2 linked regions of the Drosophila melanogaster genome follow. The protein of the gene in region 2 interacts with the protein of the main gene of each other region in a pairwise test. Each region holds a gene or a part of one and is shown on either strand. Other genes may lie near its edges. The genes, in order: CG6800 and CG17508.

Region 1 (15,668 bases), on a different chromosome or scaffold from region 2:
TCCAAACCAACCCATTTTTGTATATTTTTATTTTTTTTTGTTTTATTTTTGGGTTTTGGTTTATTTTACTTTAAAAATATGTTGTTTTGATTTTTTTTTTTTTTTGTTCAATATAGTTACATTTTCCTACCTAGTTGGTGTATGGCTTTACGGGCCATTCTTCTCATCGGGCAGAAAAAGTTCCGCTCAATGTTACAATATTTTGTGTAATATTAATATGCAGCGCAGTGCATCGAGGGTGGTGTGCCACGCAGGGCAACAAAAAAAAATATTTTATTTTTCAGCTCCTATTTGCTTCACTCTGACCCTCCTTGCGTCAGCTGGACGTCGCCGGGGTTGGCACGCTGACACTCCCTCGATGACGTAATGAGCGGGCTGCTCACCACGTTGATGATGATTTCCTCATTTAGGGGTTATGTGGTGGAGCTGCAATGTCTGCACGTATGTTCACAATGCGGTGTGAACAGTGGTCCCTCGCAGTCGTTCGGGCATCTTTTCTTGAAAACAGGCAGGCTTTTCGGATTGGGAGTTGGAGTTTTGTTAATTGTTAACGATTTTATTTGATTTTCTGAGTGAGCGCGTGTGGTGGGGATTTTTTTCTTGAGATATTCGACACAGTGGTCTAGCTCAGCTTGTAGTTTTTGAGCTTTCGACCATTGGGGTGGTGGAGTGTTCGTATATAATAGCCACTTTATGTGCGCTATTCTCTTTTTTATATTATGTCGAACTCCGCCCCTGTTTTTTCCCATCACACTGACACTCTACTCACTCAGATCGCTTTTTTCTTCATAATTGCCGCCGTCTTGGTGGATGAGCATCGAAGTTGAAAATTATCACAAGCGGTTTCCTTTAGCTTCTGCTACAACTTATAACGATCCTTTGTCACGGTCGCCATGTAGTTAATTAGAATTCCAATACTTCTGATGTAGTTAATAAAGTCTCAAAACGCAGTTGGTCATTTTATCTTTATTTGGTTTTTATTAAGCGAGCGTACATTCCAGATCTATTCCTGATTTATAACTGATCTTAGTGTGGTCTACAGGCAGATCTCTTGTGACAGCCAAGTGCTGACACTAGCAAATTCTGCAATATGTAAGTATGTAGTTCATACTCGATAACCAATGGGAGTCGAGTGCGACCCCTAAAGGCGTACATGCTGAATTCGCATATTTAGTATTAGGGTGTATCTAAAGATCTACTAGGGTGACCCTAAGGAATTAGGGTGGTCCTAAGTTTACTTATTAGTCGACTTATTATTATGATTCATATTATAATTATTATTAATATTATTATTATTATTGTTATTATTATTGTTATTATGTTCGTATATACTACACTCCGCTGGATGTGGCCAATCGCAACAAACTGATCAAATGGCTGTGCAGATACCAGGCCAGCAATTGCAGGCCAAAGGTTAACGTTCAGTTCGTAACAGGTCATGAAGTACCATCGCCGGATTACCGGGAAACGTTCTATTGTGCCGCCAGTGGTGCCGATTACAACTCATACACCATGTTGTGGGGTCAGTATTATTTGGAAAATCGCACTAGCGAAAAGAATATGCTCTGGGCTGCAATCAGCTGCACGAGAGACTACGAAACCCATTACCACAAGATGATCATCTCTGGTACGGAAAGTGTTGAACAAAAGAAAATTGGTATCGCCCGTATGTACGAGGAGAATCCTGACTTGGTTCAGGCAATTTTCGAAATGATTACCGAAAACATTATGGAATTAGCGTATAAGTGAGTTATTTTTCATAATTTGATCATCTGAGAGTGTGGTTTGATTGTTTATTGAACACTTAACCTTGTCGCTTTTCAGCTTCCAGAGTTGGTCGGGACACGGCCGAGGTGATCAATGACATGGCGGAGTACTTCACCACCCGGGAGCAACAGCAGTTGCTCAAGGAATTCTACTACAGCAATCACCAGTTCTTCGGTGAATCGGAAGAGCTGCTCTCCAAGTCCCTGGTCACTGTGGAAAAAAACCTTAACTGGGCGGAAACCCATTTGGAAGGCTTAGTAAAATATCTGGCGGACAGAAATGGTAGCTCCTGCCTGGGAGCCACTTCCTTGGTGGTGGTTCTGCTTTTAGCAGTGGGCAGCATGTTGGCCTGGCCCTGATTAGCCAATAAGTTGTGAGGGAAATAAAGAGATTGCCGTGGTCGTGCGCCGCGGGAGAAATGCCCTTTTCGTGTACGCAATTACTAGGCAAAAAGGTTTGGACGGCCCTTGCTTTATTAGGCCATAATTTACGCTGTCGAGCGGCCATTAGAGCGGCATCCGCTGGCCAAGTTGGTCTATAAAAGCCCGGCGGCTGCAAGTGGCGTTTTCCATTCCACGTGAAAGGACACTCGCAGTCGGGCCGACGAGATGCTGCGCCACCTGCTCCGCCACGAGAACAACAAGGTCTTCGTCCTGATCCTGCTCTACTGCGTCCTGGTCAGCATTCTGAAACTCTGCACGGCACAGCCGGATAGCTCTGTGGCCGCCACGGATAATGGTATTTGATAAGGCATTTGATAATATCATATTATTCGCTCTAATGGATTCCATTTACCATCCAGATATTACGCATCTTGGCGACGATTGTCAGGTGACGCCCGTCATCCATGTGCTCCAGTATCCTGGATGTGTGCCCAAGCCGATTCCCTCGTTCGCCTGCGTGGGTCGCTGTGCCAGTTATATCCAGGTGGGTGTTGATATACTTGAAATATAAATTATAATTTGATATAATCTGATGACTTTAGGTTTCGGGCAGTAAGATCTGGCAAATGGAGCGTTCCTGCATGTGCTGCCAGGAGTCTGGTGAGCGGGAGGCAGCCGTCTCGCTATTCTGTCCCAAAGTGAAGCCCGGCGAGCGTAAATTCAAGAAGGTCCTGACCAAGGCGCCATTGGAGTGCATGTGTCGGCCATGCACTTCCATTGAGGAGTCTGGCATCATACCACAGGAAATTGCCGGCTATTCGGACGAGGGTCCACTCAACAATCACTTCCGGCGCATTGCTCTGCAATAGATTCCCCCATCAGTTTAGCACTCATACCCATGCCCATTTGCTCATTAAAATAAATTAGAGTTGCCGTTTCTGCTTGTACACAGTGAAAAATGTGCCTCTGAAAGCTCATGCCAGTGAAAGGGAAACATCAGCAGATATATGATTATTTTAAATTGTAATTTATTTCCCAACTATCTCATGTCATTGCTACTAGTTCACTAAATGGTGTGTGTCCTGCTTCACAGGGTATGTATGTAGATGCGTAACTCCAAAGAAAACAAAGATAATCTTTACACTGCAACTGGATCTAACAATAGGAGTTTAACTACGGCATAATGCATATGACTCGCGCCGCCTACAAGTACTCGACGATATCGCATTTGATGGATATATTCGGACAGCTCTGGCCCACGGCACTGCGGCCCCGATAGTTGGGACTCTTCTCGGTGAGGAGTTTCCGGAAGATGGGCAAAATTGCCGTCTCGCCCTCGAGCAGTTCCGTCTCGCTGCTGGCGCCGTAGATGCTGCTATCCTGCTTGCCGCGCTGCCTGCTCCGCTGCTTATCGGGCGCCACATTGGGCGAACTGTGGTGGTGGGCGGCGTGCTGGATGTTAGAGCTCCGGCTGACCTTACGCGGCTGGACGCACGGCTGACTGTTGGGCGGCGGATCTCGTTCCCGTTCGCTGTCCGTCTCGCTCTGGCAAACGGTGCCCTTTTGCGGTTTTGGCCGATGTTTGTTGCGGTTCTTCTCGGAGACGGACCGCTGGATGGGCGAGGTGGTGTTCGGGTCATAGGTCATCCCGTGGCCGCCATGATGTTCCGCACAGCGCTGCGGACTGGCGTAGTTCCGCGGCGACTGGCGCTGCTTGGCGTGCGACAGCGTGTGCGTGTCCCAGAGGTCACTCTGTGAAACCACGAAATTGGACTTCAGAGCGGAGCCCATGCTGGTGCGGCGATGGTCGGAGGCAGTGGGAGCTATTTTCGATTAGAAAATCGATAGTATTATAGTATTATAAGAGACGCGCAGAAAACTTACTCTTAATCACAGCCGGAGTACTGGGCTTTGAGTGTGGACACATGTTGCTCAACTCCGATTGCGATGTGGAGATGTTGGTGGAGGAGTTCCGGTGCGAGCTGCTGTACTTTGGCCGGGCGGTGGGCGTCTGGCTGCCACTGTCGTAGTGCCTGGAGGCGGTCGATTGACGCCTCTCCCGCATGCTGGAGCAGTCTCCTCCGCTCCGCTTGCCCGCCGTACTGGTGATGCTGCCTATATTATCATCGGTCTGAGCGGACACCGAGTTTCTCTTCTCCAGATGGCGATGATGATGCTGCTGCTGCTGCTGTTGCTGTTGCATCTGCTGGTGTTGCTGCTGCTGCAGGTGCTGCTGCTGCATCTGCTGATGTTGCTGTAAGTGCTGCTGCAGTTGCTGCTGGATGGGCTGCATCATAGTTGGAGCAGGGGCATGCGAGTGGTGCTCTACAATCGATTGCTTTTTCTTTTTGCTGTTGGAGAATATCCATAGATTAGAGTGTATTTAAGACCAAAATTTAAGAACTTACGGAGGAAGCGATGGCGCCATCACTGTAGACTGCACCGACACAAAGGAGTTATCCATCTCCACATGAGTCGAGGTCACACTATCCACGGACGTCATCTCGGTAACTTCTATGACAAACGGGTTGCAATGCATGAACATATCTACGAAATCCCCCTCCTTAGCCACTCACCTGTGGTGCTGGGCATCTCTCGACGCACCGGTGGAGCTGAGAGCCTAACAATGTCATCGTTCAGTATGGGCTCCAGTTCGCTACCGACGTTGGAGCCACCTGTGCAGGTCACCCCATCGATCCATTTGCGTGCCTCGGGTCCCAGCTTGCGGATTAAGGCCTGCAGCTCGTTCTCCTTCTCCATCAGCGCCTTTCGGAATCGGCAGTTTGTGTTCTTTACATCTCGCAATCGTTGCTCCAGTTCGCACACCGAGGAATCCCGGCGTCCGTTTTTGGACATGGGTCTCAACGTGGCCCTAACGCGTTTGTCCACCACGCCCTGGGGATTCCGCTTCAGCTCCACCAACTGCAAAACGATTCGCATGAATATTAACCAAAGATTATACTACGCGGTCAACATCTAGGAAGGATCAACTCTACGGACAGTAATATAGGATAGTTAAAGATATTCCAACAGCAAGGAAGTGGGATTTGCCTACAACCTTGCTGCTGCTCTTAGTGGGTTCTATATAGTTCAAGTTTATAGTTAGTCTGTAGTGTTATATAGCATTTTAAGATCTGTTTTCGAGTACATGTTGTTTCTGTATCAAGGTGTATCAACGCTAGACGAAAGATCAGCTCAGCTGGCGGTAAAGTACGATCAGTTAAGAAGCTCTAACCACAACTGATCGGCCTATTACCGCCGACAAACAACATTCATATTACACGATTATTATATGTAACATATAACAGCTACAAAAACTACAAAACTTCCTTACTACCAGTCTTACTTTCGGTACGAACACCAAACACAAAGTGGCTGTCGTACAAAAAATGATAAAAAACGAGAGTAAGACAAAAACTAAATCCTTTCGATCCGATAGCACCAGGGATATAGCCGCTCCGGCCAGACAAGTGATGAACACGTTATAAACGGAGAAACCAATATGCTTGGAATCGTTCAGAGCCGGTATAGAAACATGTCGAGTTTCCCAGGCCAAAAAGGCGCCAAAAACCTATTGAAAAAAATTATTGCTTTATTATAATGATATCTTACAAATTAATGTTTATTATATACTCACCAACAACAGTCCCTTGTAGGCATAAATAATGCTAACGAATATGGTCATGTGCTCAGACTGGCAGTACTCGTTTTCGGGGATCACCAAGACATCATCAATATTCTCGTGATGCTGTAGTTAATAATAATCATTTTAGATTTTTCACTTCAAATATGTTCTATCAATGCACTCACCAAGGGTTCCAACTGTTTAGTTTCGCGGTAAAAGGGATCGGCAATCTGCCAGGTGGTTATAATGGCTATATCAATGGCCAAAAGCACGCCCACAACCATAAACAATTGATAGTCCTTGATCACCTTCTTATTGAGCTTCAGATCGGTGAATATCGAATGCACCCGCCACGTCTTCGAGAACATGGCTCCAAAACTGAGACTGAATCCAGCCATCAAGATCCAGGCTCGAGCTGTGCAGATATAGGGAAAAGCTGCCACACTACTTAATGTGGTATCGAGACCCAGGAAAATGATGCTCAAATAGGTCATCATACAGCCCACAATGATCAGATTGTTCAAATGGGGACTGGACATCTTGATGTATCTATAAAAACATCAATATTTTATTAAACGAAATTGTTTAATATAGCATTGTTAAGCTCACCTTTGATTGCGATACTTAATGTTAAAGGCCAGAAAAACTGTGGCAATAATCACTCCAATGACCGAAGCACTAGCCGATACAATATATATGGTTGGATTGACCTGACTGTGCTCGATGTAGATCAAAGTGCGATCCTTGGGAGGAGTTTTCCCCACCCATTTGACTGGTTTTCCCAAGCTTAAATCCAAGTGTGACTTCTGTGAGTGGTATTCCCCGATCTTTTCCATTTGTCCCAGCTGAAACTGATTGATCAGGATGTTGGCCTTGCGCTCGTTGTTGTAGAAACGCACGGGTCCCTTGAGAATGTAAAATATGTTTTAACTGCAAAAACTGGATTGTTTATCTATCTACCGTCACACCCTCGAAGGATGTATTACGTAGAGCCTCAAGGAAGACACTCTCCCAGTCCTTCACGCGATAATCAAAATGTGTTAGCAGATCCTCTCGCTTTTCGGCCACATACTGAATGGCCAGGGCAGCTGCCCAGATACCATCGTAGGTATAGCCATGAAAGCGGGAATATTCAGTGCCTCGCAGTCTGTCGTACTCCACAAGATACTCATCAGCAGTCTAGTAAAATATGAAATTTATTACAAGAATTTTAATAGACTTTACTGGTACTAACAATGCCAGCCACTGTGATGTCACCACTGGTGGACAAGGGCAAAAGATCCACTAGAATGGCACCTTCCAAGGCTGTAGCGATCTCCTCCACACTGCACTCGCTGTCCTGCGTGACATTCCACCAATCCGTGGAATAGGTAGCCATGATCAGCCATTGATAGGCTCTGCCATACATATCCAATCTGGAAGGGAGTTTATTGCAATAATTTTAAATTGAGACTTAAGTTAGTATATCCAACTCACTTATAAGCCTCACAGAATGCCTTGCGTGCAAAGTGCTCGTTAAAGTTGCCCAGAATGATCCTCACGTCCTTCTCGCGCAGTTTCTTCAATGATTCAGCCACATCGTTGACGAAGCTCTGCGTTTCCACCACCTCGACCTCCATGGCATCCAGGTCAGCCACCATGTGATTGTGGGGCAGCGAATAGCGTGGCTCATTCTGGTAGACAGTGCCCACTCTGGTCCAATTGAACTCCTTCAGCAAGGCCAGTCGCGGCGCATTAAAGGCATTCTCCGAGGGTACCACGCGAAAGAAATTCGGAAACGCATCCTTGGTGAACATGGGATGGGTGTCCGCGTAGCTGAGCTGGGTGAGGTGCCAGTGCTTGCTGGCCTTGGCTATGGGATCGGTCACATGGGTGCACGCAGCGCCGAAGAGCATCACTTTATTGGGACCCGAATGCATCATATCGAAGAAGGACTTTACGCCCACAGCAGCATTGCACTGGAAAGGAAACCAAAATTACATTCCAGAATATATGGAAATATGCATAGGTAAAGGTGTGATATTACAATATGAACCAATGAACATTAAAAAAAATACCTAATTGAACTTTAAAAACCACAAGTCCATCATCAGAGATTCACTTAATGAAATCTTCAAGCTAAACCCTAACTCACCTGAGTGTCGTTCCACCACATGTGCAGCCTGTAGTTGGCCAGTATCTTTCCATGCTCATTAACGTGACCCAAGGCGAGCTTTACACTGGGCATAACGCCCCGACCGGTGTAGGAGTTTTCCACGCCATCCCCGTACGGGAAGAATCCCGCTATGTAGACGTCCGATCTCTTGGCTGTCCTGCCACAGGCGGTGCTCCAAAGGAGCAGGAACAGCAGGCTGGCGAATGGAAACCAACTTGGCCGGAACATGTTGACCGCGTGGGCTGTAAAACGATTCTAAATGTGAATAGCGCATATCGAGGACGTGAACTTGGAGCCAAGTTGTGGGTGGTGAATGGCAGTGGTTGGTTTCGGGTGAGCCAAGGCTGCCGAGGCAAGGCTGCGCCCAGTGGGTGTGTATTATTTTCTACGTTCTACCTGTGTTTGCTGGCACTCGCATGCAATTTTACAGGACAGGTGGAGCAAGGCTAAGGCCAGTCCAGGCCAGCAAAATTGCTTCAAATTGCTGCAGCAATGCTGGCACGTTTAGTAATTATAAAGCAATTTAATGATCTAAAGGATTCGTGCATTATTTAGTATGCTCGTTAACGCGAAGGAGTATCTTCCAGGTGTTGCATCCTCTTAAATCTTATGTGTACATGTTTTTAGGAACCTACCAGCTTGCTTAGTCCCAGAACTGGCTTTTATTTCACTACCGATGCCATTTGAAACACTTATTTTACATCAAATCTCAGCCAACGAAGAACTTTTGCAGTGCGAGGGTCCGAAAAATTATGTATCCCCCTGACTTGACATTTGTCTGACAGGAGGAATTCGAGGCAGGAAGTGCGCATGTCCTTAAACCGAAAGCTGTCACTGCTCCGCCTTGGCCTAGGCTTTCCAACCCCCGTAATTACCATAAACCCACTGCGCTTGTAAACATCCTGCAACAGGTGGTCCCATCAGCTGGTACTCCGGCAATTGTTGTGCCCGTTGCCATGGACTACTGGGGTCGAAAAACGAAGTAGATAACTGCTCGGAAAATTACCAAATTGAAAATTGTGAGTAACCATAATGGAGGACTATGCGCCCAGCCGCTATAAAATGCTTGAGAAAATCGGCGAAGGCGTCCATGGCTGCGTGTTTAAGGCCATCGATCTGCAGCGCAACAAGGAGGTGGCCATCAAGAAGGTGGCCCTTAAGAACAAGTTCGGAAACATAGCCCTAAATACTTTGAGGGAAATCAAGACCCTGCAGCTTTGCAAGTCTGAATATGTAGGTATACCATATATCTATTTTCCATTTGTTAATTATGTAACTAATTGTAGATTCTGGACATCATTGATATATATCCTGACCTAACTGGTCTCTCCTTGGTGCTGGAATACCAGCCGGACACTCTGTACAACCGCCTCAAGAGCGAGGTTAATCCCCTGAGCCGCCAGCAGGTGCGTAAGTTTGCACACCAAATGTTCAAGGGGATTGCATATCTGCATGAAGCGGGTCTCATGCACCGGGATATTAAACCCGCCAATCTGCTTATCAGCGATACAGATATGCTTAAGATTGCCGATTTCGGACTGGCCCGTCTGTACTTCCCTGAAGACGAGTCGCGCCTTTATTCGCCTCAGGTCTCAACCCGGTGGTATCGAGCGCCAGAGATTCTATTTGGCAGCCAGAAGTATGGAACCGGAGTGGATATGTGGGCGGCAGGTTAGCCATGACTCTTTGATGGGTTTACATATATCCTTATGGCTGACATTATTGCTATCCAGGTTGTGTTGTGGCGGAGATGCTACGCGGAGTGCCCCTGTTTGCGGGAACCACCGACATCGAGCAATTAGCCATCATCATTCGCACTCTGGGCAGCCCACGTCTGAATCAGTGGCCAGAGCTGACTTCTCTGCCGGATTACAGCAAGATACGGTAGGCATTCTTACCGTCTATGATTACTTAATCCGTAATATTCTTGACGTAGGTTTCCCAACTCCGTGGGCATTCACTGGGACAACTTGTTTCCCAGCTGCACACATGCGGTGGAAATCAATCTGGTCTCGAATCTGGTGGTCTACAATCCCAAAAACCGACTCAAGGCCAGCGAGGTGGGTTCTGCTTCAAGTTTGACACCGGTTAGGTATTATAATTGGTAAATTCTATATTTCTCAGGCCGTCGAGCATGATTATTTTCATTAATCTAGGACTATTTACACGGACATTGCTAGCAACTAAGAGTTTTCGGATTCTTTGAATCTGCAAGGTAGAATGTGTGTGATTAGTTGTGGAAGTGAAGGAATATGTTTATCAGGACACCTACTTGCACTTAAGGCAGGTAAAGAACACCGTCTGGCCTTCGTCCGCCGATCGAAGCTGCAGGGTGGCATAGGACATCTTGTCGTGGTTGCACTTGGGACACTTCCTCTCCACAACGGGGCCATCCGCGTCCGATTCCGACTCCCTTTTCGTCCTGTTGAACACCTTGCTGGGATCGTAGGTGTTGAAGTGTATGGTAAACTCGGACTTCTCGCCGCTGTAAACTATTTTTAAGTGTTAAATAAATTAAACAAAGTTGTAATTTCTGGATTTACCATCTGGCTGAAACTCCTTCTTGCAGTTGTAGCAAATCACATTGCCCTTGACTTGAAGCTCGGGCAGAATGGAGCCGCAGGAGGGGCAAAAGCCCGGACAATTGGAAAAAATATCCATGCCAGTATATATCACCCAAAATCAAAATCAAAATACAAAAACCGCACGTGCTATTTCGGATTTCAGTATGAGCGTAACTGAACCGTTTGAAATATACCACACGGTATTAAAAATATACTTGATTCATATACTAAATACGTAAGGGTGGAAAACTAGAATAAGTCTGGTTGAAAGCCTTGATGAAACGGGTAGAGCCGTTTACCCGTTTCGATTACCGGTTCTTAATCAAAATCAATTATTCAAAATAAACTTTCAAAATAGTATTTGATATTCATAGCCAATATTACGTAATGAAAACAGTTAGATTTTAATAGCCAATATCAAGTTATGAAAACAGTAAGATTTTTACTTTTATCTTTACTTTGTATTAAAGTTTACAAAACTATTACATCAATAAGGCGATCTTACGGTCTAGTTAGCTGAAATGCAAGTCGGATGTGTACTGTGTTCCAATTAAACTACCTAAAACTATCACAGGCAGAACATTAACTACGCACTAGAGGTTCCTAACTACAACTAAGCATCTAGGAACTATTGATCCTTGGCTGCCACATATCGCACAGTATATATATATTTAAAATGCAGCTATCGGGTGGGATGACTCTGCGGCATGTTAAGCTCCCAGAGCTTCACATTGTTGTCGAGAACCTCGTGGTACCAGCTCTCCTTTTCCGGCTCCTCCCGGAAGATGGGCTTCAGCGACTTGAGGTCCAACTGCAGTATGGCATCGTTGCCGAGCAGCGAGTCCAGGGATCGCAGTAGAGTACTATTACCGTGCAGTTTCAGCAGGGTCACATACTTGACCACATAGTACTCGTACTGCAGCTTCCTTCTCGCCCATCTTTCCACTGTAGCATTGGCACTAGCCGATCGAATCTGGCCCAGATGGGCGGCAAACCAGGGCGCAAAGTAGTTGTAAAGATCCAACTTGGACAGTCCGTTCAGACCTTTACTCTTGATTCGCTCCTTGATCATGCTGTAGTTCTTCCTGCTGTACACAAACACCTGATACAGCGAATTGCCGGTGGTGTATGAGTTTACGTAGTGGGTGCCCACATCTTCCATAAATCGCACTGCGGAAGTTATATTTCCGATTTGCAGTTGATCCATTCTCGATCGCACATCCGGCTCCAAGGGTTGGTGCACCGGAATCTCAGCGTTAAGACGCCCCGTTTCCCTGAAGCGCACCACCCTCACCAAAACATACGAGTAATCGCCTTGGATGAAAGATGTATTGATGCCCAGCTTCTTGGCCGCATTATCCGGAAACCATCCGCCAGTAAATGCCTCCCACGGTTTGTCCATTCGCTCAATGGAAAAGTCACGGAAGTAGGCCTGGAACAGTTGCCTCCGATTCTCGCAGAACTCCATGTGAAAGTCTCCATGAAAGATTCCGGGCGTGGTGTCTTCATGACTCTCCGCCAGGCCACTCAGATTCTGAAAGAAAAAAATCATTAATTATCTAATTGTCTAGTCAGCTCAATTATCAGGTAATAAATATCAAGTGACATACTTGAATAATCGTATATAATGATCGTTTTCCTAAATCTGATCAAACAAATATAATAAGCGCTCATTCTAACGACAAACGTGGCGGAAGTGAACAATATAATTACAACTAAAAATAGTTTTAAGTGATAACAACTTTAAACCCTATTTTAAAATTTTGATTATACTCCAAATAATTATGGTGATTGTGGTTAAAGGTTAATACAAACAATTCCGAGTTCATCAACGCCATTTAATTTATTAAATGTAAGCTTAACTCTGCCTTAAGTCCCTTACCCTATAGATGTTTTTGGTGGGCTCCTTAAACACCCAGCGATCCGGCTCCGAGTTGTCATTGAGCGGTATCACACGCATGGAGATTCCCAGGTAGCCATAGCGCAGGAATATATTGATGGCCTTGCCGATCCGGAGCTGGGACTCGCGACGACCTCCATCCGCCAGGAGCGCCAGGGTCAGCAGCCAGAAAAGGCCAGGCCACGACCGCATCGCTCAGCATTCAAGGTTAGATCTATAGAGGATTATAATAGAAATATTATATTGCAAATTTAAAGCGATTACACTTGAATTAGGCAAACGTTTCCATATTCCATATCCATATAATCCCTTGCTATAAAATATTATTGATTGAAACAAACGCAACCTATTCCGATCTCTTATAAAATTCGCAATTTAACAATAATGAGGCATATCTATCCCACAATAATTTATTCAAGTGACTAGATAACTCTTGATTGCAATGTGCATATTGATGACAAGCAAGTACAAACAGCGCTATACCATCCGAACTCATTACTCACTTAGACTAAAACCGGAAAGTTTTACAGCAAGCTACTTCGGTGGTTTGTTTATATTTTATAGCCAGTGCAGTAGTTGCGATACAGTGGGGTTAACTAAACAGCAATAATTGCAGGGCCGCCGTGTTTGTTTTCCACTCCATAAACGGGCGATAATATAAGCGCGCTCTAATTGGCCATGAACCTTCAGTGGCGCTGAACTTGAACCGACCAAGTCGACTTGGGTAGAGGCCACCAGCTGGTGGTGATGATGAGCTGGAGCTCTGCGTAGCTCCACTCTGATCACCTTAAGTGGATGCAATTAGCCGCAGGCTCTGTGGCCGTAAAAGCAGCTACAAAGTATAGCCATCAAAATTGGTTCGGCTGTCGCTTTGACTTGCAAATTATTTCCTAAAAACATTTTGCATGCCTCGTAACCGTTTTCCTATAGTTGGCCCACTACACTTCAGAGGACCGGTTATGCCGTTTTTGTTTTTTTTTTTTTTTTTTTCTGTCCAAGCATTATGGCCGGCAAGGAAGCCAAACAAATTGGCCCAAGCCAGACATATACACACATTCTAACAGCTTGGCGAGGCAGCTTTTAATTCGAGCCGTTATCACAGAACGAGCGACGTGTTTGATGGGCCAAAAACACAGAGGTTAGCCGGGTGTTAGCCACGTTTGTGAGTCACACCTGTCGACCCGACGCACTGAAGCGCAGCACCAGACAAAAAAAAAACACAAACGCAGCCATGATGAGACTCAAATGTTAACCATTTACGTGAACCATAAAATGTAGGCGTCGCTAAACTTGTCCAGCAGCAAAAACTAAACAAAAAACAGCAGGAAGAGTGACTGAATGAAACTAGCCGTGAATGGAACAAAGAAAAAGAGACATTTGACTACTGCATCTTGTCTATACTTGCCTATAGTACATATATTACTGCCCATGGGCGCGATTCCAGGAAATATTTGTTTGCACATTTTATAAACACATGAATATTTGCTAAATGCTGCAATCAGCTGTCTTGACCTTACAGATGAACCTCACAGATTGCAATCACTCTACGGATTTAAACATTCTGACTCGGCATAGAATACGATTTCGAAGGCTTCCAACTTCTGGCAAACAACTAATGCCCAAATGAGCTTAGTTCTCCATCGCGAGACCCAGAAAATCAAACTGTCGCACAATTGCCAAACTTGAGGTTCAAAATTTGAGATCCGCTTGAAAGGCATGTGTTATGTGACTTAATGATAGTTAGTTTTGTCGGTGGGGGTATTGACAATAGCGGACGCATAACCTTGTGCAAAAGACCCCAAAAAAAAAAAGAAGCCGCGAACCGGAGTTCGAGATGAAGAAGACGAATTAAATCAAAAATTCAATGCGCGCACTCGGACTCCAAAGCAAAGGCAACTAAAAATCAACTCGTTCAACTGTGACTCCCTGTGCACTGGGAGAAAAGAGTGTGGCTATCTAGGACTAGAACTGAATAAGAGAAGAATCAGTCAGCTCTTAACTCCTCTTTTGAGCTATTTGGAATCTTATTCCAATTGTTTATGCTTTTATCAGATTTAAATCGTTATTAGATTTGTTATTTGGCCTATATTTATCCAATAAGATTTTATAATGTGTATTTTTCTTGGACATCCTAAAAAACCTGCATACATTTCTCTCAGTGCTTCCCACCGTGGTTGTCCGCGGCCCAGTCAATTGGAGATTCTTTATGCGCATTTCATGAGCTCTTTTGTGGTAGTAGTCTGGAGTAAACCCCGGGCGAAGGGCACAGACGTGGGGCATAAGGTCTGCAGTTTATATCGCGCTTAATTTTATGCTTGGTCCGTGTGCGTTGTTTCCTTGAGCGGTGTTAAACAAAAGTTGTCTTGACTGCTGCTGAGGTGCTGCTGCTTTTGCCACTTTTGTGGTAGTATTATTTACCTGCACGAGAACTCGAACGCGAATCGAAATTGACGTAACCATCGGCCAGAAGCGGCTTGTTTTATTTTCGGCAGAAGCTTGAAGCTCCGGCTAATTCTATATGCCAGTCGACACAAATCCGCAGGTCTAGAGTTGTGGCTCGCCACTGGTTAGCCTTATCGCTCTGATACCGGGGGCCATTGCACAAGGCTGGTTGGCTGGCTTTATGGCTGGCATTAGCATCGTTAAGACTCCGATTTTTAACGCTTTGTGGGTCAGAGGTCGGCGGCTTGGTTGGCGCCCTCAAGTGATAAGACGGATCTATGAATAGATCGCTGTGGTTCGAATTACATGCGTTTGCGCAGATTTCAACAACCAACAACGTACACACACACACACACAGGCAGTCGTCAAGTACCCTGAACGGCAAACACTAAAACAGACTTAAAACACACTAAAACGAGCGACGACGTGCCTTCAATTGCAATTATAAGCCGGAATTTGCGGCAGCACTTACACTCAAAACGCGAGCAGCACACCTTCAAGCGCGAAGACTCAAAACCTAACTGAAACTGGCTACCAAAAACTCGATCGCCGGAGAGAACAAGCCGATCCGTTCAAGCAGCTACAGCAGCAGCAACAATATATGTTGCGCTACGACAGCAACATGTTGCTGCTGTGCGTCGTGTCGTCTGATCCAACCGAGCAACTGGCAGCAGTTGCAGTTCAATGACTGGCAGCCAGCAGAAGTTCTACTCCTCCAACGGTAGTGGCTATGGCTAATGCTAATGGCCTGGCACAAATATCTATTGTTGACATCTGCCGTTTGGGGGGACAGCTTTTCCGCTTATTAATATTTCCGAGCACGTCGTTCAAC
Region 2 (17,368 bases):
CATATATATTAATACAACCTATTTGTGCCTTATTTATTATTATAATTCTTACTATAATTCTTTAAACAGGTTTCTTCTAAAGATATCTCGAGCTCATAGGTGGTGATTCATTTCCTTGAAACCAGTTTGACTGTTGTGGATTAGTTTGTCGTTTAAAATAATCCACGACAGTATCTTTACTATAATTTTATCCAGTACAGTGAGATAGGCCGGTAAGAGTTTAGCATGGTTTTATCTGCGTCTGATTTCGCAATTGCTGTTTTGGTATCCTTGGGGGATGTATATGATAAAAATGTTATTTTGGAGTTTAATTATCTTAACTTTGGTTTGTCCAGGTTTTTTTTATCATAGCATAGTTGATCCTGTCCATTCCAGGTGTGTTACCTTTTAGTGTGTTTAGTGCTGCTGAAAATTCTAGATATGTTAAGGTTTTTAATTTTCTTAAATGTTGTTACGTGAAGTTTGTTTTTGTTGTCTAAAGGTTTTGGACATGTTGGTATAAGAGATGTTTCGGATAAGTTTTAACAGAAAAGCTCTGCTATTTGTAATTTGTGGTAGCGCTTGTGTTTGTGGAAGGGTTAAGGATGCTGCGTATGTGTTTTATGGGATTAAGACCGCAGAATCGCGATTTTTAGTAGTGGGTTGACGAAATGCTTGTAAGTGTGTTGTGTGCGCTGAATTGTGTTGGTGACTTGTCATTTACTAAGATGTAATTAGATTGGGTGATCAATTTTTCTAAAGTTATGCCTCTAGTATTGTTGTTGATTGTGCCCCCGATTTTGTGCCAACCGTTAAAATCTCCAGTGAATACGTGAAGTGTCTAAAATATATTTAATATAATTCTAAATTTTATCCTGGAATCGATTTTAGTACATCAAAGTAGTCTCTTAAGGTTATTTAACGAGCTTGCAGGAAATTGTTTGTCAGGACAGCTATGACCCCATAGAAATCAGATGACTTTTACTAGTCACCTGACCGGTCAATGCGTTTAAAACGTCATTGATGGGTAAGGGCTTCCTTAGATTCTTCCATGTCTAGGATAAATTTTTTTTTTTTTAGACTTTATTAAGGCATACTGGGTAGCTTTGTCACCTTGGGCGCTAATAATTCAGCCCTTTAAGGGGCGCCGGCTAACAAAAGTTAGCTGTAACAAAACAATAATACAAATATAACAATTAACAATATAACAATTTTAGATCATCATCATATCCCGGCTCTCGTCAAGGGGGACCTTATGATAAGGTCCTTCGGCTGTCTCCTGTAAAGCCTTCTTTGTGGGCGAGCTCTGGAGAGCGCCTTGGCTAGGCGATTTCTGTGGCGCTCTAGCCTGAAGTGGTACGGGCTGGAGTGCATGTTTATTGCCTCGGAGACAGTGGCTATCTTGAGGTCTTTGTGCAGGGTTGTGTTTCTTACGTACCATTCACAGCCGGTAATCGTCCTGGCGATTTTGGTTTGGGCAGCCTGAATGCGACAAATTTGGCTATCGCAAGCCAAGCCCCAAATCTGACAACCAGACCTCCATATGGAGCTATAATTTGCTTGAAAATTGTCACCTTGTTGGAGAGTGACAATTTACTTTATTCTGCATTCTTACTTCGAATTCTTAATTTTAAGCAGGATACCGGAGTGCCACACCCGATCGAACGCCTCACGTACATCCAGGAAGACTGCGTTGCACTACTCCTTGTTTTCGAAAGCCGATAGGATTTGCTAGAAGTTGCCAGTCTGGCTGCAGCCTTGATATTAAGGGTGAGAGTGTCAACAGCTTCTTCTAGGTCCCTTTCTGAGTTTATCGGTCTGCTGCCTTTCACGTATGCCCTGTAAGGCCTGTCTTCTTTTATCTGGTAACAGTGGAACTCATATTTTTCGTTCTCGAGCCAGTTGACTACGCTGCGAAATGTGCCGCCTTAGCCTCAACGTTTTTAATGTCCACTATTTTATCGATGCTCTGCATCATCAGACATACGTTGTCTACTCCCTCCATTACTATAGGAGGTGGAGAGCGCCTTGTTGAGTGAGCTGGTGATACCAGCGGAGGCTGCATCCCGCTTAGAGGTAGCAATAGCAGCTTGGTGACTGGTACTGGGTTGGTCACACAGATCGCCAATATAATTGCCTACTTCTTTGTCGACTGAGAGATGTGCAAGTAAATCAAAATGGTTTGTGTGGCCGCCATAGCTAGGTTGTGTTGACGAAGGATTTTCACCTTGTTTGACGATATTGGATTTCGATTTCTTCCTGTCAGTCTCTGGAGAAACACGAGACTGCGGCAATTTGCTTCATCAACGTAAAGTCTAGTGATAATTGCGATGGACCATTATATTCCATTTTCCGTCGTGATTTATAGCGACACGAATTTGGCAATTTTAAGGCACACATGTAAGTACACAACAAATCAGCAGGGTCCTAGTCAAGACTTGAATCCTGGAATATATAAGCTTTAAAATCACAAACAGCTGTTTGTGCGATCGCGTGGCAGCTGGGCATCTGGGCGATCGCGTGGCAGCTGTCTGTCTGTCTGTAACTCTGTCTTTTTTGAATAAAAATGTTTACGTTTCACTATTATTTCACTGATAGTCACTCCCTACACTATTTACGATATGTGCCAGTATTCTGGACTTGTCCATAAGTTTTTACTGCGAAAACTAACTTCACTTGTTCCACATTTTCAGCTGCGTATTGGTAGACACGAATCATAAATCCGTTTTTATTAAATGTTAAATTTGTCAATCAACTACAAAAATCGGAAGGGCGTGGAAGCGTTTGGGAAAACTACAGCAGTAACGGTTTAGTGGTTTTGTGAATATTGCATAAGGGGAACGACCAGAAGCCAATGACAAATGATCAACAAGATTCCATAGCTGATCAGCTGTCAATCGCAGGAAATCCTCAAATCTTGCTAAGATCGGCAGCTAAAAAAGATTCGGAACAATCCGATCAATCAGTGGTGGAGGCAGTCCTGTCTTTCAGTCCATTTGTCTGCACTGGTTTCTCAATCAGTGAATACACCTGTACCGGTTAGTTTCCCACCATAACTGTCCTACTGTCTCCTATCAAAATGAAAGAGGCTTGCGTAGCAATACAACTAAAATGTATTCTGATAGCCTTACCTCTGCACCCTATATTATTGTGTTTACAAGGACTTGTCTTAAGATAGCTAAAAAAGATTCGGAACAATCTGATCAATCAGTTGTGGAGGCAGTCCTAACACTCAGTCCATTTGTATGCACTGGTTTCTCAAGCAGTGATTCCACCTGTACCGGTTAGTTTCCCACCAGAACTGTCCTACTATTTCCTTTCAAAATGAAAGAGGCTTGCGTAGCAAGCCACCTAAATAGTATTCTGATAGCCTTACCTCTGCATCCTATATTATTGTGTTTACAAGGACTTGGTTAAAGGTACATAACTCTCAAGTTTTTTCTAGGTTTGTCCACAACACGAATGATCCGACCTCCAGACGGGTTGGTGGTCTTAATTGCGGTTACGTATACCCTCACAAAGTACAAAGTATACCCTCATATACGCTGTAATTTTCCCACGTATTGTGCTTATACATTCCGGCGTCTTTTGAATTCTTACTTTTGGATGATTCCCGTACCTCGGAATTCTTATTTGTAAAGCTGTTATTTTTCCGACAGATCAGAATATATTTAGTGCTCGAATATCCCGCCACCTTCTGAATTCCCAGAATATCAGAATTTCCACTATCCAATCCGTCTCAAATATACTGTCAGATAGGGACCAATTTGTAGTTCTAGGTGATGGCACTACGTGGTCCCCAGAAGAAAAATCGACTCCACTTATCGTTGTCGCAAGTTAACTTTATTCTAAACTCACCTGGATTATTGGATCCTACTTTTGAGATGACAATCGACATAAACGAATTCATTGTTTTCGCAAGGCAAACTTTCTGACGCTAATTAGTTTTACATCTGGCTTTAATTGGCCCGATTCTTACTCCTACAACATAATGGCGGATGCCATATATATTTTTATAACGAAATTAAATTATTTTGTAGCTCTTGTGTTCTGATGTACTATCCGTCAATCTCTAACAAACTTCCTTGGTTTAATAATGAGTTGACTCACCTAAGAATTGAAAAGTCCAGACTTTAGACAAAATTTAGTCTCAGTCTATCCTTTCTAAATATTTAATTGCTCGGTTAAATTTTACTGTGCTTAATGCTTAGTGTTACAAGAGCTATTTATACCATTGTAAGTTCCAGTTCGCACTAAATTCGAAAAGTTTTATAATTTTGTTGACACCTAGCGCAAAACAATTTCTCACCCTGCCTCGTTTTCTTTTTTTTTTTTCTTTGAAAATACTACGGTAACATCGAATCAGGCAATGGCAGATCTATACGCGGTATTAAAGTCGAATTAAATATTTTATCCCACTCTAAACGGATGCTCACTGCTTTACGATCTTAAGCGCGTTAAGCCTGTCTATTCTCTAGGTTCCTACGGATTCCCTGGCTGTGTGCTCATATTGTTCTCTGGAATATTTAGTCCGCCCAAATATGGCAAGAGTCCTTTGTGATCCCCCTCCATAAAAAAAAGGAAAGAATGATGCAATCACCGAGAAATCTCTCAATTGTCGGATATACCTCAGCTTTTTTAAATTTGCTATCAAACCTCACCTTTGTAGGTGCAGACAACCTTTTGGAGCTAACTTCCTTCGTCATACAGGTCTTCAAAAATAGTCTTCAAGCAGATGTCATAACTGACTTTAGTAAAGCACTTGACTTTTAATCAACATAATCAACATGTTGATCTTCTAGATCACAACCCTGGTCCGCTCCTTCTTATCCCCTTTTAACTAAGACTTTTGCTTACAACATTCGGGTGTATTTATGTACGCAGACAATATTAAATTATGCCTCCATTATAAGGACATTTCTTGCCCCATTGTTCTACAGTCTGATGTAGATAGCTTTTAAATATGATGCCGTTGTTAGACAAAAATTTGTGTCTGCAATACTCAGACAAAGTTAAAGGCAGTGGACATTGAAAGTAACTTCGTTGGTTACGCAAGATTGCAATAAAGAGTTATATTTGTGAGCTGTTTCTGCGGTTTCATGGTTGTTGCAATGCAAATTCTGGAAACGTAACCGCTGACGCAAACAGGGAGACATTTTTAAAGTGCAAGGCGTCTGCAATTTATAATTAAGTGGACCATTTAGCGGACTCGTTATCGTTTGATGAGTTCGTTCTTCGTGAGAGGTGGGAGCTGATCGATGACCTTTAAAAAACATTTAGAAAAATTCTCAACAAGCTCGAAATACTTGATTTGCATGAACTCGAAAGTGATTTGGCTGAGAAATTTGACATGGTCGTAACGCTTAAATCCTCTATACGGGAGGAGATAATCTTTTTTGACGGCATCCCTCCTAATGAGTGTGGCCAACAGCAGCGTTCAGTCCCGTAATCATGAACCGCCGCTTCCCCCTCTTGAGCTAACAAAATGCGCTGGGGGCTATGCTAACTTGGTCAACATGAGTTCACATACCAGCATGCTGCCGTAATCCCAAATGCTTCGGCCAGGGTAAAGGACAGGTTGCTCGTGGCGCAACAGAAATCCCAGGACAACGGAATAAGTTCCTTGGGAACAGGACAGCAGAATAGGACGCCCGGCATGCCAGGCCACTCGCAGCAATCGCAAAAACAAGAAGAAGTTAGCAACCACCGCCGCAACAGGCATCCCAGGGCGGCGTTCAATTTCCAGTATTGCCAAAAGTAGTACCCGTGGGAATGTTATAGCCCCCTTGTGCAATGCCACAGCCACCTTCACATGGTGTGGGTCAACAACAGGGCCAGGGGCCACTCAGCGACATGATGTTTCATAAGCCACCGCCAATCCCGCCAAATCTTCGCTAAACCCAATAAAAAATATCGTTCAAAATCGCTTTATAAACCTCGTCTTTTCATTGCTTTGAATAGCTAAGCAAATAATTTCTCATTAGATTAATCTGCCTAGATGGTAGTAGTACGCTTTTCCTACAAATAAACATTTCCATCTAAACTTTAAAAAACAAATTATAAAAAATGAAATCCCTTATTGAAAGGACTTCATTGTTCTCAACTCTAAGTATTTTTTGGCTTTGGTATTTGCGATTTCTTAGATCGAATATAGCGTACAACAAATGGCACAGAACCTAACGTGATACTTATTCTAGCAGGGGCAAAGACTTTGTGTACGGCATACGCAACAACAAAGGTGCTCCCCGTTGCCACTTTTTCTACAATAGCGGGTGATGCAATTCCAATACACTCCAGAGCTGGGACCAAGTTTATGCCACTGTGAAATAGAGCAAGAAAAGCATAAAACATGTAATTAAAAAAAAAAGGGTTCCAATGTATTATATTTATAACAAGAAAACATAGGGCCAACCAATTTATAACTTTCTATATTTCTATATCTTTTCTATATCTCGTAACTTGTAGAGTAGAAGGTTATTTGTTGAAAAGTATGTAAAACGATAAAATGTAGCTCATGTAGCTAAAATTTGCGTGGATTTCGATTTTGCCATTCAAAAAGTGTTGATTAGAAAAAGATCAGAAATTTGGTTAACGCAGTGAGGTGGAGCTCATTGATGTTTTCGATGACGGTCCGATTTCTGCGTGCACAGGATACTCGAATGCATGGTACCCCTAAGTATTTACATTTGCCTTACATTAAGAATATCTTTGAATCATTCAAGGTGATACATAGTGCGATTTGAAGAATTTTTGGTACACTCGTATTAATCCTTCAATTGCAGTTTGTGGTACTTTCGATGCGTTGGCGTCGCAAAATAAATCTTTGTTTTTATACCCGTTACTCGTAGAGTAAAAGGGTACACTAGATTTGTTGAAAAGTATGTAGCAGGCAGAAAGAAACGTTTCCGACCATATACAGTATATATATTCATATATATATTCAACGACTTTAAGTTTTTTCTCATTTTATTCACCAACATCTATCGATATCCCACAAAAATTATGAAATCTCGCGTTCGCATTTCCACTACATGAGTATCGGGTATATGATAGTCGGGGAAGTCGACTATAGCTCTCTCTTGTTTTTCAGTTTATTGTAAGTCTGAACTGAACCGAACAAAATGATAGACAGAAGTGCAAACGAGAATGCTTCCATTAGTCTGTTAGATATAACCTTTTGCTCTACGTGTAAAGTACAACTCGGAAACACAGTATTGTAATTTGGACAGCAGTCTAATTGTAGTACCACCTTACCTTGATACAAGCACATAGAAACCGGCAAGAGAAATCAGTGAAATTCCTACGTGAAACGCAACAATTGGCGCTCCATATTCCTTAAATGCCCTCTTCAGCTGCTCACTTTTACTTAGTTTTGCACCTGTAGGTGTTTTTGTGGAAGAGTTTTGCATAGGTGATTGGGTGCTATAATATCTTCGATTAAACAACCCTGTAAAATTAGTTTAAAATATATTTAGGTTATGTGTTAAGAATGCATATAGGAAAAACACCATTTCATACAAAATATATCTATTTTATTTTAGAGTTATATACCCATTACTAGTATTTTAAAACGGTTCTTTATATTCGATGAAAAGTATCTTACAGATAAAAGAAAAGTGTTTTAGACTTGAATCTCTATCAGGATCGATCTGTTCATGTCCGTCCGTATGAAAGTCCAAATATTTATACCTCAAAAAGCTAAAAAGATGGTATTCGAAAAATACGTTGGGCATGCCCACTCCAAACACAATTGTCTATTTCACACTTTGTTTCGGTTTTCTTGCAATTTAATAAATTCTTTGGTCAATTCTAATTTCTATATAATAGGGTTCCTGGGAACTGAAAGCCAATCCTTAGAATGAGTTCCTGATATATGCAGACATGTAGATGCATTTCTAATTACAATGTTATATACATATATATATGTAAATATATTGTATACATGAAAATATTCATATACGAAAAAATGCTTATACAGTTACATATTTTTACTGGTTACTTTTTGAACGAAGCTTTCTCACCTTGGTCATTCGTTTTAAGAGTAGCATTCTGATCGTAAGTCGCCCAATCCGCTCGCAAACTTTCGCGAAGACCGCTGTAGTGAGAGCACTGCATGTTTTGCGCTGTAAACTTGAATTCCTGGGACCATTGTCCGCCAGGCATGTTCAGATGAGAAAACTTGTTAAGCCCCCCAAACGGTGTTGGTACATTGCTTTGCATCGCGGAATTAAGACTGATCAACCCGAAACAATCATAGGACTGTACATGTGGATCTTGACAAATATTTGGATCGCTTAGGACTGCATGAAAACTGTTGTCAGTTGTGATATCAATGCTTGAGATTGGTGCTTGTGCATTAATCACTGTAGACGAAATGTCACGCGAGCGCTGGGGGGAGAATCGAGTTGTTTCCGCAGAGTCCACATTGATTGGAAGGGGAATTGAGGCTTCATTCACATAATTTCCCATTGCGACACTTAAGTGCAGTTGTTGAACAGCTTTGTGTGTATGGAAGTAGATTAAAATATACAAATATTAGTACTAATTCGTATGAACATACATACATATGTATACGTATGTGTAACTATTGCGCATTTAATAAAAAATGTGTGCATATGTATAAATGTACTTTATACTATTTCGTATAGCTACAGATGCATACATTATCTATGTACCTGCCTATTTTAGACGGCGACAAAAAAGCGTACGTTACCTGGCCATCTCTTACTAAGAAAAAAACAATCACGTAAAGGTCCTTTCAGCACCGCAAACGTTTTGCCCGTTGTGATGTACATTGTATTTGGCAAATGCAAAATAAAAGCTTATTCTGATTAAACTTATCAAGCCGACTAACCAACCCAACTACAAGCAATTGCTGTAGACCGATGGGAGTGCAATAAGACATTTATCGATATTTTTCGGATAAAAATATTTTTCTATCGTTATAAATTAATAACGTCTTTTTCCATTTCATACAGTTAAAAGTGTGCTTTAAAAGTAGCATTCCAATATCCTTTATATTTTATTATTATAAAATTATTTTATTACAACAAACTTCTTATATATTTATTGTTCACCCGCAAATTTTCTACATTTACAGGTTTATATCAGGTATTTTATGACTTCAGTTACTTTCTTGTGTTCATGCTTCATAAGAAGATATTTAATTATTATACACTTCCCACTGTTACCTAAAGTATACATACCTCAAAACTGAGACCAAGAAGTAGCTCTTAGATACTATTATTATGATTATTTATATGTATATTGATTGGTTAATATTCCGAAAAGCATCCTTACGTGTTATATATCAAGAGTTGGAGAATTGGTAGAGCTCTTAATAAATTTATTGATGAAAAAGGGTTATGTTTTTATTTCCATTAAAACTTTTACTATTAAGGTTGAAAAAAAGAAATCGTTAGACTCGTTTTTGTGATATTCACCAATAAGTGGTTGTTAGAATAAAACAGCTAATCATTTTACAACTTCGTTAAATTTTTGTGATTATATTGTATTTTGTCAATTTTTGTCTGTGTCTTCTGTAAAAGGCTTACTAACATCCAATGAAGTTTCTATTTACCAAGACTTTTGTCATTTGCTAAAGCAATGAATATTACGTTACTGTCAGATGGCTATACCATTAATATCACTATTGTTTGATAAAATTCGCAAAATAAAAATTGAATCTTCTGAAGGAGCTGTAACGAAATCGAGTCCACTTAGAGTATCGCAAGAGCGTTTTAATTCATTGCAAAGAACCAAAACACTGGTCAAAACATCTTTGTTAGATCCACGATTCAAAAAGGTATATCTTCCGCCCGTCACATCTAGTGAAGGATTTTGTTTTCGAACTCTCTCAAAGCAGCATTAAAAAAGTAAGAAATGTTTTTAAATGTTGTAACCATTACTAACACCGTTTTAAATAACCCGTTACGTGATTACTAAATTTATAAAATAAACCGTAAAAATGTAATGAAACCATTTATAGATAAAAAATAATAATAACAATCTAAATTTTTAATGCCGTATTCACTGACCTTTCCGACTGGGAGCTCATTGGATGACGAACATAAGGACTTCAGCAACGAAGGATTCATTAAGGCTCGTAACCGATTAATCACAACGCGACGCATGAGCTTAAACTGTTTTCGAGATTACCATTCGCGTCTTGGGAAAGTGATCCTTGACTGTTTTGGAAAGGACACCGAAAATTACACTTTGTCTGATCTTTCTAATTTGGCAATAAGCTACCTTATTATGCCAGATATCTAGTATACCTTTTTACTCTCAAGTATCGGGTATAAAAGGAAGTTGAGATCGAAGCGAGATGCTTATCGGTTGCAACATTTATGAAACCTACCAATTCTAGACAAATTTTGTAGTTTGCAGCTTATCTTAGGTCGTAGTTCGATGTTCAAAGTCAAATCAAAAGTTCATATCGACAGGCGGATAGACAGACGGACAGGCGGACTCATTTTTTTCGTTCAGATTCAAATCAAAAAATCCATACATGGGTATTGAACAGAAAAAGCAGGATACCGTTAAATAAATTTGTGAATTAGAACCATGATCTTTTTCATGTTTACTTTACTTTGCTACCGAGTTTGGTTTTCTTTGTGATTGGCGTTTCATTTTGAGGGTTTGTGAATAAAAGGCCAAACCAGCCTAATTGAAATTTTGCGGTGTGCCTGTGCAGCGACTGCTCGTTTTACGCTGTGGTATTCGGAGGGTGAAGCTTCACCCTTCAAGCGGCGTTGCGACTACTCCATGGACAGCTACTCGAGGCTCGGCTGATAAGGGAAAAAGTAATAATAAATAAACGGATATATGAGTCGGCAATAGTTTTTCCAATTGCCGCGATAATAATCGACGTGAACAACAATGGTCTTTGTCCTGGTCATGCTCCTGCTGCTTGGGTGCCCACATAAAGAACAATCGCGAGCACGCGCCCAACGAAAATTACAGGATCATTTATGGCGAACGGGGCAACCGCCTGGTAGCAGTCTCTTGGTAGCACCCGCTGCAAAAACAACCCCGTGCTGACACAGCGTGTGTGTAAACACGTCGCAACAATTAGTTGCCCTTAACGAATCGACGGCGAACCGTCGTCTTCCGGTCAGGGTCCCGGAATGACATTAAGCTCCGATTAGTCACTTTCAAGTTGGTTAGGAGCCAAGCAGCTGCCTGCCATCCGCAACTCTCGCTCTTATTGTTGGTCCCCATATCTGTATTTGTCGCACAACTTTGTTGTGATTACGGCGATAAAGCGGCTCAAGTAAATCACAATAATACGACGGTCTAGTCTGGCCGACTCGGTTCGAAAGAAAGTGTGAATAGAGCCGGGCTCAACAATCAACAACAATAGATTCGCCGGACCGGACCATCAATGACAAATGTCTCTAGGATTATGAGTGGGCATGTGCATAAAAGTCAAAAGCAATAGAAATAAAAATTGTGTTCACGTCATGGGACATGTCAACAAAAACTGCCGAGAAGCAATTGCGCGACACTTTCTTGGGTGTAAATTAAGATACTTTATACTGGCCCTTGGTGAGGACCAAGCTGGTGGCCAGCTTGGGTTTTTGTGTATCACTCGATTGTATTTTGCTCTTTGCATGCGTCAGCTATATATTGAACCGCTAGCATATTCATTGATTTTCGAACAGTAATTCTGCAATATCATTGCCTGTTCAACTTCGTGGGACTAGCACAACCCATCTCTTGCCTCCCCGCACCGTCCCGCGAAGAAATGCCGTCACGTACGCGAGCCCCATCGTTCAACAAATAAAGAATGAACCGGATCCTCATCGTAATTATACTGATGCGTTAGCAAAATTGCTGTCAAATTATAGGAGGCCAGCTCTAAAATCGAGCGATCTTTTGAAGGTAGGTAGGAAATACGAAATTCAGTGGCCATTAAAGTTAATGATGGGTATTTATTTTCAAAAAAGCTTTTCATTCTAAACTCTTTTAGGGGTATATTAATAAGAGATTCCGACCAGCAGTGTCTTCATTGCATTTATCTTCATATTTTATAAAGCGCACATCGAGAACATGATAAATATTATTTCATAACAACTATTTTTATAAACAAACTTTTTTAAGAAACTCTGAATTGATGGAACCGAGATACATAAAAAACGGACTTACACCTTATCTATTCACAAAATACAGGAATTTGAATACTAAATTACACACATTACTCGAAGAGTAAAATGTTAAAGTAGATTCGTTGAAAAGTCTGGATCAGGTTCAATTGAAATGAATTAAAAAGAAATCAACAATTCGTTGTTATACCCGTTAAATGAATAAAACAGGTAACACAAAACTTTTCCTAACACTTTATTGAGGATCAATAACCGAGTCGGTATTGAGGAGCCAAAGAAGTTAACATTTTTTTGTAAATGCATTTTTCTCTGATCACAATTAATAATTATAACATCAAAAATTTTATAAAATCAAACTAAAGTAGTTAAAATCAAATACTTCCGTGAATTCGCTAAAATTTTTGAAACTCCAAAGCTGAATTTTATTTGGCTTAATTAAGAACACATGCTATTAACGGAGTACCCCTTATTAAATAGTCTCAGTGGCAATCGAATATAAGAAGGAACACTAAAAATGTGAAGGAAGTCGTTCTCTGAGAATTGTATATAAACGGTACGACTAATCCTATATTTTTAGAATGAACGGCTACTCTTGGCGTTAAATTCTCTGTATATAATTTTTGTATTTGCTAACAACATTTGCCAAACAATGGAGGATCTTTTAAACGAAGTTGTACCACAAGAAGATTTAGAAGTAAAAAATATTATTTTAGTTCTGATTGTTATAAAATAAATATTTTGCATTTGCTCCAGAGATTCGAAAAAAAGTATCATCACGAACTTGAGTTGGATGGTGAAGTTACCACAGACACAAAGTTTGAGTACGCATTCCTAAATCTAAAAACATTAAAATATCTCAATTCTTCTCAATTCTAATGACACAATAGGTACGCATTCTGTCTGGTCCGAAGTCGGTACACAAATGACGTTAGAAAGGTGACTCACTTTTAAAGCTGTAAAGATGTAAAAATATTATTTTATTTATAATCCAGGGAATTATGATTTTGGAGGAACTGGCTCGTACGCATCCAGATGGAAGGCGTGACTATATATATTATCTTGCGTTTGGTAATGCTCGTATCAAGGAGTATACGTCTGGCTTAAAATACTGCCGAGCTTTTCTTGACATCGAGTCAAATGATCAAGTTCGCTCCCTAGAGGTTAGTAAGGTCACTAAGGAAAGCAGCAATTTCTATATAATCTCCAATAGATTCAAATAATTTTTTGATCCAGAAAATTTTTATGACAACCAAAATCCCATGATCACAAAAGATGTGTCGTGTTAAATGTACATATATAATAATGAAAAACATATTCATGTGATCCTCACTAATGTACATACACTAAAATTCAATGTACGAATAATTACTAAATAACTTTACATATTTCAGGAATATATTAAAAAAGAAATCGATAAGGAAGTGGCAAAGGGTATGGTGGTTGCAGGCGGAGCAGCTTTAGTACTTGGCGGAATATTAGGACTTGGCATTGCTATGGCTAGAAAGTAATATTTTATACCAACACGTTTTTAACCGACAATGTTCTTTTAAAAACAAGCAGTTGAAAATTAAATATTTATGATTTAAATTAAATCTACATTGACTTAATTATTAATGCTATGTGTACATTGTTTATTTTTTAGTAAACAAAAACGGGAGAAATAGTAACGTCACCACTATTTAAGGAAAATAAAACATCGAAAGGTGCACATCAAGATGTTATGAAGTTTAATACTTGAAATATGTTAATTTACTACATCAACATTCTAATTAATCTTTATGTACGGTTAAATCAATAAATTATCCAATTGTTGCTTGTAGATCGTGTGTGTTAATTACATATGTTAAGGTATAGTGCTATGCCGACTCCGCTGAATTAAACTCCAACAATGCTTAAATCATCGGACTTCTGTTGTTTTTAGTCCATACAAAGAAGAACTTCGAAGGCGTAGTCTACCGAATCATCGCCCCGGCTGGGTGCAAAATAATATGATCTCCCTGGGTCCAGAAGACTGACCTCCAGTAATCCAAACTACTCTCTACTCCTTTCTAGTGAAATTGTATTTCGGATATTTTTTTTTAGACTCAGGATAGGTAGGATTAGCTAAGTGTTCCCATCTAAAATAACTATTTCTTCATGTCGCATATTTTTGTGAGTACGTACGGCTTTATCAAAATCGTAACACAAGGAACAGCAGATAGCCTTGAATAAAGGTTATGGGTGGAGCGCAGTTTTATACTGAATTTAATTCGGAGACTAGCTATATTTCAATAGTGGTAATACTTTGGACGTTGATAGGGGATATCAAGAAAGCACGCATTTCAATCCGGCTCTATCTCGTCAGCGAGTGTCGTGGTGTTCTTTTGAGGTTACAGCATTTGGGTGCTCATTCATATCTATGTGAATTTAAATGATAGCTATGGAAAATGATAGATAGGGAGTTTCTCTCAATGCACAACCCACAATGTCATTGGGGGGTGATAGTTGCTCACCCTGCCATGGTCCACGCGATTCCAAATTAATTATGCATTTGGCCGCTTTTATCCAATTGGGGTACGGAAGTTCTTGGATCAGCATGTAGTTTAAATTGGTGTTTCTACTTAAACATAATTTGATTTTATTACTGATCTATTGATTAATATTGATATTTTTTCATTCTATACCTAACCGTTCTAATTCCTGTAATAATTCTACACTTGTTCGTCTTCCGTTCGATATCATTTTCATTTATTATTTACTACATATGATACTCGAAAACATTAGGTAATTTAAAAGTAAGACTTTCTTGGCTCCATTGCATAAATATTTATAAAAACATTTAAATTTAGTTTATTTCACTTCAATAGACTTACGCAATGATTAGGTTTTAAATTTGAAAACAAACAAAAGCAAAATGAGCATACATATGTGGACATTTCGAGCATACGTTTGGTTATATATTGAACTGCCAGACAGTTAATAAATTGGTTGGTCATTAAAATCCACTAATGAAAGAGATTCACCTTATCTTATTCGGCTTACTTATTCGTTCGTGAGCAGTAAACTGTAAATCTTCTTTTTAACCAAGCTCTCTATCTCTAAACTATCCCAAACCTTTTGACTTCAATATTTGATTTGGTTGGTTTATATGAGCTCATTTTGCGTAAAGTTTGGGATGAGACATATTTTTAATACAAATCAACTAAAAGTGTAAATCAAAATCACTTTTCATCCAAGCCATATGGCCAGGAACTTAACCCGGATTTCTATCCGAGCCCCGCTCAGTATAGTTATTAGAGGCCCACAATTTTTTTTAGTGTTAGTTAAGTTTTAATTTTATTTCAAGTAATGGTTTTGTTAATCTCCCTATGTAGACGATATAATAAAAAAAGCCTTTTTAAATCTTCCAGAAATAGGATAGGCCAAGCGAAGATCCATAAATTTGGGTTTGCAAAGGAGAAAAGAAGGGTCCGCAATGACTTATGGAATTTTCCCGTTGGACGATGAGTACTGAATTACTTTAAAGATATGAAAAAATATTATAACATATTTGTGCGGTAGAGTGGCAACACAGGTCAACAAACTTGCTATGCGTCATATCTTGACGGACGGACGGACAGAGGGAGAGGGTCACATCGTCTCGGCTATTGATTATAATCAAGAACATATATATTTTATGTGATAGAAAACGCTTCCTTGTGCCTGTTACGTACTTTTAAACATATCTAGTATACTCTTTTACTCTACGAGTAACGGATATAACTAGAATCCAGTCAGAAATTGAAGTGTCTGTGCAGGAGCCACAGAAGTCGGTGCCAGTGTAAATATTGTTAATAATTTTTAGTCACCAAAATGAATACAGAAATTAACCTCTTAAAATTTAAATACTGAACTCGGCTGATGTTTCTCCGGAAATAGGGCACATAAGAGGCCACTAGAGCCTTGCTATTAAGGAAAGTGGTCATAGGTAGGGTAGGGCAATCCGCAAACACAATTACACCGGTGTTTCGCCAGTAACAGTTGTCTCAAGCTTTCTTTCGAATATAATAATTATCGATCTTATTCATTAATGTCCGTAGCGAAAAGGTATCTGTACAAGCAAGACCACCAAACTCCTCGCCAACGAGCTAGAACCGAATTCCTTCCATCAATTTATTTCGTTACACGTTACGACAGTTCGTCAGCCGACTATCTACTCGAAGAAGTCCAAATTAGTAAATGATTGGTGAAGGGTGGCTATGCCATTCTTGTAAGGACTTATTGTCATTTCAAAAATGGTCTGCTAAACCAGATGCAATCAACAGATGCGCGGAATATCTTACGGACATCACCCATTATAAATTCGTCGGTGTCGTTCCAGGCGACTATGAAGGTTTTATATTCCCAACAGTCAACAGTCACTCAAACATTCTTTCTTGTTTTAATAAACATAAATGATTTTATTTATTAATTCTAACATTAATCTTACTTTTCTATCAAGTCTTGATCGTCGACTGCTTCTGGGACTGTGAAAGCTGTGAAAGTTTAAGAAGCCTTTAAGAGTTCACTGACTATCAGATACACGTTACGCAGATGGTGGAAATGCATACTCGAAATTTCATAATTTTTTGGGATATCGTTATTTATTGGGAAATTAAAGGAGAAAAAATTTAAAAATTGTTCAAAACTTTGGGCCTGACCGTTTCAGGCGTTTTGTAGGTATAGGTAAAAAGAGTAGCCGAAGTGTGTTCGGTATACCGATAGAAATTGGCAAGGCAAACAATAAATCTGGGCGGTTTTGGGAGTTGGAGTGGGAGAAGCAAAAATTTTTTTAACAAATCTTTACAAATTTACAAGACTAACAGGAATATAGGAAAAGATCGAATCGGCTATTGATCCTCATCAAGATAAATACTTCATTATGTATACTATTTTAACTATTTTAACGTAAATAGTATCTCTTTTCCTCTACGAAAAACGGGTATAATAAGCCTAATTGTGTTATACATTTCATCGCGAGTACTAGTGTAGCTGTTTACTGCTGATGAAAGCGAATGCGAAGGTCCTCGCCCTACGGGATAGTTAACATGCCCCCTCTCTCCGACCACAGGGAAACAACACCGATCCAGCAAACGAAAAAACGGAGACGAGCAAAAAATTAAACGAAGATCGCCAATACGAACCCGAACGAAACCATTTTGAGGGAAACAGACAACTTTCGTAATAAAGAGCATTCTCATTTCATACCCTAAACTGCTCAGTTCTTTTTTTTCCTTTCCTCCCTCGACCACAGGATTGTAACTGGCGCAGCCGGACTACAGACA

The links.
Region 1: the proteins of CG17508 (region 2) and CG6800 interact in a two-hybrid assay, tested with the Drosophila melanogaster proteins (one large-scale study listed by BioGRID).

Annotation. Positions count from the first base shown.
Region 1 is NT_033777.3:21,767,176-21,782,843, forward strand, and holds CG6800 (uncharacterized protein), read left to right. Parts: upstream 1-8,962; coding exon 8,963-9,163; intron 9,164-9,216; coding exon 9,217-9,601; intron 9,602-9,663; coding exon 9,664-9,814; intron 9,815-9,866; coding exon 9,867-10,038; downstream 10,039-15,668. Other genes in the region: Burs (bursicon), read left to right, coding at 2,376-2,505, 2,570-2,694, 2,753-3,019; GABA-B-R2 (metabotropic GABA-B receptor subtype 2), read right to left, coding at 3,354-3,973, 4,035-4,501, 4,559-4,661, 4,727-5,072, 5,485-5,721, 5,788-5,898, 5,961-6,324, 6,385-6,680 and 4 more; Polr1H (RNA polymerase I subunit H), read right to left, coding at 10,114-10,138, 10,203-10,422, 10,474-10,591; tsl (torso-like), read right to left, coding at 11,177-12,028, 12,377-12,586.
Region 2 is NT_033778.4:5,600,122-5,617,489, reverse strand, and holds CG17508 (uncharacterized protein), read right to left. Parts: upstream 8,856-17,368; 5' UTR 8,775-8,855; coding exon 8,693-8,774; intron 8,478-8,692; coding exon 8,001-8,477; coding exon of another isoform or gene 7,975-8,000; exon of another isoform or gene 7,496-7,974; intron 7,427-7,495; coding exon 7,234-7,426; intron 6,299-7,233; coding exon 6,085-6,298; 3' UTR 5,904-6,084; downstream 1-5,903. Other genes in the region: Fis1 (Fission, mitochondrial 1), read left to right, coding at 12,736-12,780, 12,840-12,907, 12,974-13,022, 13,079-13,246, 13,478-13,590, 13,729-13,750.